3 linked regions of the Nothobranchius furzeri genome follow. The protein of the gene in region 1 purifies or fractionates together with the protein of each later gene. This does not show direct contact. Links are inferred from orthologs where the notes say so. Each region holds a gene or a part of one and is shown in the gene's direction. Other genes may lie near its edges.

Region 1 (3,755 bases):
GGAGTATTATTTGGATGTTGTGTTTGCATTAACCCCCCGTCTTGTGTCTTGATTTTTGTAAAGTCCCTTTTATTTTTGTTATGTCCCTTTTGTTTTCACGTATCTATTTTATGTTGTACATAGATGCTGTCATGTTATTCACTAAGCTGTTGGTTTTGGCTGTTGTATTGACGAGACTGTAATCCTCAACGAGAATATGTATCTTGTTCAATTATAAATAAAGAACATGGCGACTGAATGGGGAGTTCGCTGCGGCTCTTTCCTCTGTTCTAGATGACTTTGGCACGTCTTTAAAACAACAAGTAGAAGCACTAAAAGCCTTACTTCTAAGAAAGATGGCGCTGTCGCCAGACGCCATTTTTGACTACAGCTAAAAAACTACTGCATTGCGCGGTACTGTCTGCATTTCTGTCTTTTTTGTGATTGGTGATTTTTGAGCTTCCTAGTCCCGCCCCTCAAGTGCCTCTCTGCCTGTGAGGAACCAGACACTCTCTGCAGGATTAAACAGGACCAGTCTGGCAGGCCAGGCTAAAACCTATGAGGAAAACACACACACAGCACTCACTTATGAGTGTTATTGTCTTGTTTAAAAGCTGAACCACTTTCTATGTAACAACTATTATTACATTATAATAGTTTAGCACAGATGTCTGCTGTGGTGAATAAAAAGTATTTATTTAAAACTTAGGCCTACTGCTAATGTGAATTTGTTATGTTTGAATTGCTCTTATTTTTGCAGACGTTTGTTTAGTTGAGCATCGGATTAAATCACAATCCAACTCTCACCACTGACTCACAAATCAGCAAAGCTTCAGACAAATAAACGGATGAATAAATATTCTATGTGCCCTTGAAAGGTAATTACACTCAGTTTATCAACAGCAGACACAATACAGGAGTACATCTTCTAAATAAAAGCATAGATGTTTCACAATAAAACAAACGATGGCCCAGGTTCATAACAAAATGTATAAACGCAGAAGTAAAAATAGGAAGAGCATTAAATAATTAAATAAATAAAATAATACACAGTTTAAAAAACTTAATTAAAATCCAAGTGATTTGGTTAACACGTTTTATCTCCTGTTTTAAATTATGAAACAAATGTAGTACCGTTTTATTTTATTTAACTTTTCTAACGTAATGCTTGTAAATGTTAATAAACTTACTTTAAACCGTTTAATGAGCTTCACGTTTATCGCTTTAATGAAACCGGATGTGGGTTTGAGCTGAAAACTCGAAGCGAAGGAATTCAGAGTGAAGAGAAAAAAACAGGAAGTGAAACCAAGGAGGAGCGAGTGAGAGAGAGAGAGAGAGAGAGAGAGACACCTGTAGGAGCGTCAAACTTTTAGGTTTTACATCATTTTAAAGGTTTTAAACTAAAGAACCGTGTCTGTGGGTCTTCTGAAGGAGGATCTAGTTTCTGACAGGATGGACGCGGACCCGGTAGGTGATGTTTTTCTTGTTTTGTTGCAGCGACTCCATAACGAGGCGCCATGTAAGGAGCAGGTGTGTTTGTTCAGGTCACATGAAGAAAATGAATAATGTTTGAGTTGAGGGGACACCTGTAACTTACGACCCTGTTTTCCCTGAACAATGGCGTCCACTCGGAAGCTGCTCTGCGGTCCTGCTGTTGGACATTTACTTAAGTTAATGTTTGAAAGTGTGAAGTCGGTGTTTAAATGAGCGTTTTAAACGCTGTTGCAGCTTAAAGCTGTTTGTTAGCTCAAACTTAGCTAGCTAACTTAGCTCAGAGATGCTGTAGCATCTTGTTCCTGCTGGCTGGAGAGGTCAGAGGATCAGATACTTCAGAAGGTGGAAATAATTTGTTTTGGACTGAAACCTTGGTCTGTCCACATACGTTTGGTGTGTTTTCTAAGCAGGCGTGCAAACAACAGATGTAAAAGTAATGTTGTTGCTATTTAAGATAAACTGATCTGTATCATCTTATTTTTTCAGGGCATCATCATTGAGGCACTTGGATTCAATTTCTGTAGTTTTGAACCACTTTAGGACACAAACAAATGTTTTTTTATTCTGGTCAGCTGGATATCTAACGGTGGTTTTTGACTGTTAAATGTTTGTGACCAAGTGAGAAAAGCTTTGCATGCAAATCTGAAGCAGGACTGATCCTCTGCTGCTGCTGGGAACAGAGGTGTTTCAGTCTTTATAATAGAGACAGAACAGATTAAAGCTGAAAGATCAGGATTTACACTCCATTCAAATCTCACATGTGCTCACAGATTAAGGGAATTTCACATTTGACTAGTTAAAGAGTCGGCATTTTAAATGGCTCACTGAGGATATAGGTTACATTTATTTTGCAATCAAATGAAAGTTTTCCTTTAAATTTACCTTTTAAATCATAGAGACCACATCTGTGCCAGCTTTGTAGTTGCCTGCTATCTAATTTTATTTCCTCTTAATCAGGTTTTACTGGAAGACCCAAGTTCGTCTTCATCTGCTTCCTCTCCAGCACATGCTGAGCTCTTTTAAATGAATCCTACCATCTTTATGCAGATGGCATCCAACTGTACATCTCCTTTAAGAACCATGAGATGTCTAAGCTACAGCTGTTAGTGTTTCCCCTAGGGATTTTTCCAGCTGTGGTGGTGGGGGGGGTAATGACACGACTCACCTTTATGTTAATATTGTTTTATTTGATGCACTCCACTTTGAACTACACCAGTACAGCAACTGCTGCATTTTAATGACTAGTATTGAAGGTGAATACCTCTTATTTATTATTGGAAATCCTTACTTTGGTTAAATAAATCAGTTGTTGAACCCCCCACTCCTCTGTTTGGTCTCCTTTCTTATTACAGCCCACCACTTCCAGTCTGGGTTGTAACAATCTGCAGACAGATTTCTGAGCATCTCCTCCTTTGGTACACAGATCCTCACTGAGCCATGTACTGTGAACAAATAGTTTCTCCGTGATATTATCCAGCAAGATCTTGTTTTTGTCAAAACAAGGGTGAGGTAATGAAAAAATAGAAATATTTCAATAAATTAACATTAAAATTATTTATATGCATAATTAAAAAAAAACATGTTTTGAAATATATAAAGTGCACCAAACTTGACTCAGTCCATTCAACAATTCTAAATGGACAATTATGTAACTCATCAATTAATTATTTGAAAGGATAATTTGTCAATTAAATGCTGAAAAAAATAAACAATACATTAATGAGGCAAGAACTTTTTAAACTTGGACATACCTACACCCACAAGTCTATTTTTACCTGGTTAAAACCATCTAGCTTATGTGCACTTTTTAAAACACTGCCCAGCAAACATTCGGACGTTTAATGACAGTTGAACGGTCACAACTGTAAAATAATATCACAGGAATTAGGAAAGAATAACATGACATCAACTCTATGTCCCTTGGCCGGACTCGAACCTGGATCCTCCAGAGTGAGAGTCACCCGCTCTCCCAGCTGAGCCATGACAGCAACTGCTGAATCTCAGATTTTTTTATACAGATAGCTAGAGAGTAAAGTGCGGAGTAAACTAACCAATCAGAGGACAGGGAAGATCTGCCACAGGCCACGCCTCCAGAGTGCCAAAACTCCTCACAGCCGAGCGAGCGGAATTAGAAACCGAGCGCGCAGAGGCTGCCGAGCGCGCAGAGAGGCTGCCGCGCGCGCACGTTTTCCTCTGCCGTGTGCTCGTTGGCAACGCGCGCACGCAGGTTTGTCACTTGTGCACATCCTTGTGCGCTCACAGACACAGTTTGCTCCCTCTCA
Region 2 (3,755 bases), on another chromosome or scaffold:
GCCAGACCTCCAACTATTTCTGGGATTCCAATCACAGATAAGAAATTTAATAATTCTGTTATTAGAAAAGTAATTGATCCTGTCTCAACCCCGATATGTAAACACTGATGGACTTTTATGAATACAAAACTCTGGAACAGGATCTTTCTGCTACCTCACCAATATGTTATTGTGAATAAGATAAAAGAAATTTGATTCAAAATTGTTCATAGATATTACCCGTCAAAAGCAAACATCTGTATTTTTTTCCAAATGTTTCTGACATATGTACTTTCTGTGGTTGTAAGGGAGAAACTATTGAACATGTTTTTGTTGATTGCTTTCATGTAACTTTGTTTTGGTTCCATTTAAAAAGATACATTTCCAAAAAGTTACAAAAAAAATATTTCTTTAAGCAAATATGAAATACTTCTTATTGTTACTAACCCTCATTTATCATCCAATGAAAAATACATAATTAACTTAGTCATTATTTTAGCAAAATATTATTTACATAAAATGATTTTTCAGAAAAGTATCCCCTTCTATAATTTCAGAATTACAGACCTTATGAAATATTGGAACAGCATTGAAAAATTAAAAATGAAGAACAACAAACTAACAAAGACCATCAACTTATTTCATCATTTCAACTTAGACACAGCAGACCCCTAAGTGTTATGTTTCTAAGTTATATATGTTTTCGTCAGTTTTTTTTATTTCTTGGTTTTTTGTTTAATAGTTTCCTAATGTTGCATGTATATTATTGCAATTCTAAACAACTGTAAAATGTGATCCATGGATTTATTGAATGTGTTTTCTGAATAAAACCTGTAAAAAAAATTAATAAATTAAAAAAACACCACGGACCAGGAAGTAGGTTTGGCTCTCTGACCTATGATTGGAGGCCGTGATAAAATGGGTGGGACGCTGCATTGTGATTGGTTGAGCTGTTGAAGTAGCATCCTGGTATTGGTTGTTAGGGTGTGTTGGTCTGTGAGGTCTTAGCGCTAATGCAATATAGCATCAACCTAACGGAGGACGAGTCATCTACGCCCATGTATCGATTTCAATACATTAGTAAGCAAATTACAGCATGATGCCTTGTTTTAATGTAGAATTTCGTCTTTGTTTTAATTGACCACGCTCTGCGTGTCCAGTTTACGAGCAGTTTTTACTGTAAAAAGACGAAAGTAGACAAGTTCGCCACCGTTAGCCTAAAACGAAGGTTTAGCTTCTCCGTTCTACCAACACAACGCTAGCTGAGCTAAACAGATACGACGGTTTGTTGAAGTGTTCCGTTCCTTATTGTTATTGATTAATTATGGGGTTAATTTAAAGGCGTTTAAACAGCAAACTGGTCTGTTCGCTAACTCGGTGTTCGGACATTTGTTTACATTTACATTTAGTTTAACTGCTTAGCGGTGATAAATAAGTGATAATCTGACTTGATTGGACCTTTGAGCTCATTACTGAAATAATCAAACGTCATTCATACGCGTGACAGAGTCAAAAAGGGAAACGAGTTTAAATCTTTAGACCCTTAAAACTTACTTAAACCATTATGTCGTTAAGCCAAATCGTTCAATAATGCAATGTTTATTGTTCCATTTTCTTTTGCAGTTCCAGTTTAACGTGTCAGGAAGCTCCTAACAGTCGCAAACATGTACGGAAAAGCGGAGTTCCGCCCGGTTCACATGGACTTCAGCTTTCTCATCCAGTCCTGCAGCTCAAACATCCAGAAGATCACACAGAACAGTAAGAGGTTTCTCCTGTTCCTCGCGCTTCAGCCTGGTGGGAAATCACATGCCACATGGTCACGTGATGACCATGTGAATGAGCTTTATAGCCTGTTTGTTATCCCCACGGTATTATCCACTGATCATCATCTCTCCAGGGTCGCACTTCAGTCTTTTTGGCTTCTTTAATGTTATTTCTTCAGAGGTGTGAACAGCAGGTCTCTTGATGAATGATCAGTTTCTCGTTTTACAACAAAATTATTTAATAATAAGGGGGGAGTGAGTATGTAACAGGGTGTGGTGTCACTTAATTATTATTAACAATTACTAATAATTATGAGGGGAATTTTTTTTTGTGTTGTTACTGATGTCTGTTGTCCCTCTGGAGTGCTGCAGGAGTACACACAGGGATTTATGGGGGTTGGATGAGGATAATGAAAGAAAGAAAGTAAATCAGTGTTTTGTGAACTGTTTAATTTGACATAAACATGGCAAACATGCTTTCTTGTCATTGTGTGTGAAAAACAGTGTAGAAATAAAAACAAACGACATGTGTTAATAGAGAAATAGCTGGCAAGCCGTGCTGACGCATGACGCATGCGCCGTGAGCGGTTTTGGTACTTTTTGGGTTGCAGCCACTCGCAGCGCTGCTTCAACCCTCACGAGGGACGAGCAAAATATCAAACATGCCAGAAATCAGTGCGAGCTCACGATTGCTGATAGGTAGCTGGTCACGTGGTGTTAATTGCCTCTCGTAACCACCTGTATACTACACGACGCTCTGCACAAAACTTGCCCCGATCTTGTAGATTCTCGCACGAGGGGAAAATCGGCTCAAAAAAGTGAAAGAGTCGCACAGTGCCCGCCTGGCTTAAAGGAACAAATATGATTTTGTAGTTCAAACAACAATGCTAAATATGTTAATTTACATTTGAGAACATTACCTCATGTCCAGTTGAAACTGGTATTGTTTAATGAGTATTGTATTGGTTTTCTCAATGACAGGAAATTGAAACATTGATATAATTTGCTTTTCGTTAAGACAAAATCGATATCGGCAAGTCAGGTTTTTCTCAAGATCGGTGATTGGCCAAAAACTGCAATCGGTGCACCCCTACTTCTCACTTTTTGCAGGAAAACCTAAGTGATATAAAGCTGATTTCTGTGTTTTAGTTCCGTCAGCGGGCTAGCATGTCCAGCTTTTCTGAGAAAGTACGACTTGAAAATGGAATACTTCCTGAGACCAAATCCATTCATCCCGTTCCATCAGCCATTGTGGGCATAAAAAATAAGTAACATCAAAAGTATTAATGTGCATGGCTCACAAGAATGTGTTTTGCTAGCGACACTTGGTAGAGATAGCTTCTCTCAGACCGTCGGACCAATCGGAGGACAAAAAACCCCTGATGTCACCGTGAGCCAACTACCTGGCTCAGCGATGTGATTCTGAAAGCTCACTGGTTAAAAAAACCAGATCCCATAGTAGAGGTTAACCAATGTTGGATTTTCTATTACTGATGCCGATAAGCAGAGCTAATGGTCAGCTGATGGCCGATATCTAGACATCAGTTGATACACAAAATTTCTGAAGCTAAATCAGTTTTTGAACTTGTAATTTAACCAACTGTTAAACCTTAATTTTGTGCACGGCTCAGTGTTAAAATCAGACATCTAACTCAAGTGAATCAAACAAAATTATTTGTTATGCAGAAGTTACTCAGGAACATAACTCTGCAGCAGCACCAGGCTGCCTGAGGATGTGCCTGACTTTAAATCTGCTTTACTAAGGAGATACTGTATATTGGCATTGGGCGATAAATCACTCTACCACTACTATATGGTATAACTAACAAAGGCCCGTTCTACTGATTCTGAACGCTTTGGGCAGATTGGACTCTCCCTGGCATCAATAGAGGCTGAAATCTGATTGGAAGAAAAATCCAGATGTAGAGGACACGGTGTCGGTACAGGATCGGCTCGGGGTCCTTCGACTGCCGATGACGTCACATTACTGCAAATCTACTCGGCTTTCACACA
Region 3 (3,755 bases), on another chromosome or scaffold:
TGGTGTTTAGTTGTTTGGAAACGGAGATAGAAACACTTGCCTTTTAGACACTGTCAGCTGATATGTTGGTTGGCTCATTGCCTAGTATCTTTGGAGTCACCTTGAAAAGGCTTTTGTGGTTTAAAGCGTAAAGCTTGGGAATTACACAGCAGATTCATTGCTAGAGGCTCAGATTTCAGAGCATCGCTTAGAAGCTCTATGGAGAAAAATGTATCTGGCGTTCTGTCTTCATGTAAAATATGGGGGGGGGGGGGGGTCTGGGTGAAGGGTAAATGCTGCACTCATGTGGGGAACTTGAGCAGTGCTCTTTTTTTCTCCTCTCTGGAGTCCTATGACAGCACCATCCTGTGCTGCATTCAAGTACTCGTCGTTTTGGTTTTAGATCACCCAAAGCACAAGAAACATAACTACCAAAAGTTTTACACAGTCTGGTTAAATACAGTGTTTGTTCCTATAAATAAACGAATTTAATATGATTTTCATTCCTCTTTTTAAAGAGCTAAAACTAAATACCTTCAGATATAAACAAGCTATTAAAAAACAAATATGACTGAATTTTGATGTAGTGAAAATAATGTGAAATTTTTGAACGCAAAAAAGATTTATAATTATCACAGTTAGCTTCTGAACTATTTTAAACGTGTTTTTATTACTTTTAAGAACTTCTGAAGCGTCTCACCTTGAAGAAAGCTATATTTCCGAGGGTACATGAATGCACCAACCGACATACTTTCAAGTCCCCAGACGACGAACTCAGTGGAGGAATTCTGGTCAAACCAGTGCCAAGTTTACATACCGTGGCGAAAGGAGGAGTTGCGAGTTCGGTCTTTTCACAAGGAAGGTTAACAGTAAGTATTAACAGACCTGATAAGTATCTCTTAACGTTGTCCTCCCATCAAAGTTTGGGTGTTGTCGTTAGGGGGTTGACAGGGAAGCGGAACTAACAAAACTAGCAAGCTAACAGCACGTTAGCTAGGTGAACAAGTTGCCCAGAGGATCTATTTCCTTTATTAGAGCTGGGGAGCTACTGCAACTTTTTGGACAATGTAAGAAAACTTCATAAAGTTTTATTTTTCCTCTGTTTAAACTTATTTATGACGTTTTGATTATTGTTAAGGGCATAACTTTTGCTAACGTGGGTGTGTTATTTTCAGGCTCAGGTGTTTTGGTTAATATGTCTCTTTCAGCTGAACATCACCTGTTTCTCAGGTGATACTTTCTTGTCATGTGAGTGCACTGTTTTACAATATTTGACTTTTGTATTGCTCTTTTCGACATAACCTTTTGTCATGGCAAAGGAGTGGAAACAAAGTAGCTCCTATTTTAAATATTGCGGAAATAAATAGCCAGCTGTCAAGTTCACACTCAGTGTTTTGATACTTTTGGATTATTAGCGTCATCTATAAATCTGGAAATAAAAGGTCATGGTTCAGGCAATGGAAATACACCATGATGTCATTGGTCAGCTTGTTTTTGAACACTGGTTCTCGGTTTATTTACCTATTGAAATAAAAACAAATTAAACAAATTTCTTGTAAGGTTTTCTTATAAAGGTAAGCATAAAGTTGACCAGAGAGTAAAAAAAAGGCAATAAAAAATACGAGGTGAACGTGATGAGAATAAGAAAAGACGTCACTTTGTTCAGCATTAGTTTAGATCTGGAGGAACAGGTTTGAGTAGAATAACCAGAAACGCTTTTCTCTGTTGTTTGTCACTTTCTGTTGTTGCTGTGAGGAGTCTACAACATGAGCAGGTATGTCCCTAAAACTTCTGCATAAACCTTTACATGTGCGCCTGTTAATTCAGGTCTCTGGGTTATTTTCATGTCTATATTATAGTCCTCACTAAAACTAGATTATATTAAAAACTTAATTAGATTAAGTATTTTATAAATCCAGCATACCTGCTTGATGTGTGCTTAACCAGTTCCCTAAAAGGAGTTATGCAATATCTACACACGAGTCTGAGTTTTCACGAACATGGCGATCAATAACGTACGCAATACATCAGCTGGACGTTATCATTTGAATTTTCCTACACCTGAAGCATTTTTACCTGAACTTTCTTCTAATTCCTGACTAACTGAGCATGAAAAGTTAATGTTATTTAGAACGCCAACAAACACAGAATCACTGTTAAAATGTGTTACAACTAGAAAATGTTCATTGATTGGATTTACAGCACAAGCAGGTCTACGGGGTGCTCTAAATTCACTGGTTTTAAATTAATTTATAGGAATGCAGACAAATGACCACATTTATTTAAAGGGTAACATCATTAGAGAATCATCCATATTTGCTTTGTTTAATTTTTTGATAATGCAGCTCTGACCTGCTGATACAAATTTTGGCAGTTTGCAATTAACCCCATTTTACAGAATACATCTTTCAAATTTCAGATCAACGGCCAATCAACTGATTTGATTTTGGGGTGCGTCTCTAAACTTACAATCAGCTCAAACTGACCCTATTGACCGGTTACATTTCTGTTGTTTACAGCTCTTGTGTATTGTACGTGTAAATAAATTTAGTGTTGGAGTTGTAAAGTCACACCAGTGCTCTGGGAAGAAAGAAAAAAAACTGTCACGAGTTGTGTGAACCTTCTGCGCTGTGGTCTAATAAAAAAAGAAAACAAAAAATGCAGAGTCAACAACATTAAATCCCCCGAACTATCTGCCAAGTAGACTATACTTTTTCCGTCTCATTTTTTTTCCTGCTTTTAACAGGGAATCTTGAAGTCCAGAGGCCGTTTGCAAAACAGGAAAATGTCACTTGAACTATAAAGGAAAGCGGTCTGACAAGAGCAGAAACAGAAAAGCGGATAGAGCTTTACTTCCTCTATGTTATCAAAAACGTTTGGGTGGGAATAAAAAAACGGGCCGTGTTTATGCCTGTGTCAGAGAGCAGAGGCTTGAGCCTTTTCCTGTGACAAACTAGCTCTCGTGTCATGTGAAAAAGTCTGTTTAAGGCTGCTGCTACACCAGATGTGTCACTCCAGCCTTAAAGATAGTCTCTTTTAAACTGTTGTCATTTTTCTTGTTGTGATCCAAGTTATTAATACCATTTCTGGGCCTGGCCTCAGTGACACAACACCTATCACCTAATGCTAATCATCTGTCTTCATCCTCCATGTTTGCTCAGACTTTATGAAGTCCGTTCATGTTTTTGTTAGATGAAAACTAAATTCAGGGTGCGAAACGTCCGGACGTTGACGGTTCCTGCTGTAGTCACCAGCTTTTGATGACGGTGGCGTTTAAATTCAGATCTGGACAGAGCCTGCTCTGAGCTGTCAGCCAGTGGTTACGGTTATCCTGATTTGCTCAGCAGCTACATGTTGAGTCACCAAACTGGCGTAAGTGTCCAGCCTAAATGGGTTTAGCTGAGATTGCATAATTAACATTTAGACTCATGCATGTTGGACATTTTCTCCACTTCCTAGTGTCGTTGTTTCTAAAACAGAAGAAAACGGGTAAACAAAAAGAATAACTGATGAAATTAAAAGCTCAGAATGCTGAAAATAACCCAAACTGGTGTGCAAAGTTAAACAAACCGAGCAGAAGTCATTAATAATTAACTTATTACTTTGGGAGCCACCAAGAGCGACGCTGCACAGCAGTAATGTGGAAAAACAACCTCATTTTAGAAAGGAAAATAATCACATTGTCAAAATTTTACGACCTGCACATGATTTATTTATTCATATTTGTTTACAAAATCTGATCAGCGACATTAATCAGGCCTGACATTGTGTCTCTG

Evidence for each region.
Region 2: the proteins of vamp8 (region 1) and stx12 purify together in Homo sapiens (affinity purification with mass spectrometry; 3 studies listed by BioGRID and IntAct, counting the BioPlex papers as one, with this or other methods). This does not show direct contact. The link is inferred for Nothobranchius furzeri from reciprocal best matches to the Homo sapiens genes VAMP8 and STX12.
Region 3: the proteins of vamp8 (region 1) and synaptosomal-associated protein 23 purify together in Homo sapiens (affinity purification with western blotting; 3 studies listed by BioGRID and IntAct, with this or other methods). This does not show direct contact. The link is inferred for Nothobranchius furzeri from reciprocal best matches to the Homo sapiens genes VAMP8 and SNAP23.

Annotation. Positions count from the first base shown.
Region 1 is NC_091757.1:27,703,386-27,707,140, forward strand, and holds the start of vamp8 (vesicle-associated membrane protein 8), read left to right. Parts: upstream 1-1,245; 5' UTR 1,246-1,431; coding exon 1,432-1,446; intron 1,447-3,755. UniProt on the Homo sapiens protein: SNAREs, soluble N-ethylmaleimide-sensitive factor-attachment protein receptors, are essential proteins for fusion of cellular membranes.
Region 2 is NC_091751.1:25,527,602-25,531,356, reverse strand, and holds the start of stx12 (syntaxin-12), read left to right. Parts: upstream 1-937; 5' UTR 938-1,059; intron 1,060-1,134; exon of another isoform or gene 1,135-1,262; intron 1,263-1,602; 5' UTR 1,603-1,643; coding exon 1,644-1,737; intron 1,738-3,755. UniProt on the Homo sapiens protein: SNARE promoting fusion of transport vesicles with target membranes. Together with SNARE STX6, promotes movement of vesicles from endosomes to the cell membrane, and may therefore function in the endocytic recycling pathway.
Region 3 is NC_091758.1:23,385,967-23,389,721, forward strand, and holds the start of synaptosomal-associated protein 23, read left to right. Parts: upstream 1-1,526; 5' UTR 1,527-1,745; coding exon 1,746-1,753; intron 1,754-3,755. UniProt on the Homo sapiens protein: Essential component of the high affinity receptor for the general membrane fusion machinery and an important regulator of transport vesicle docking and fusion.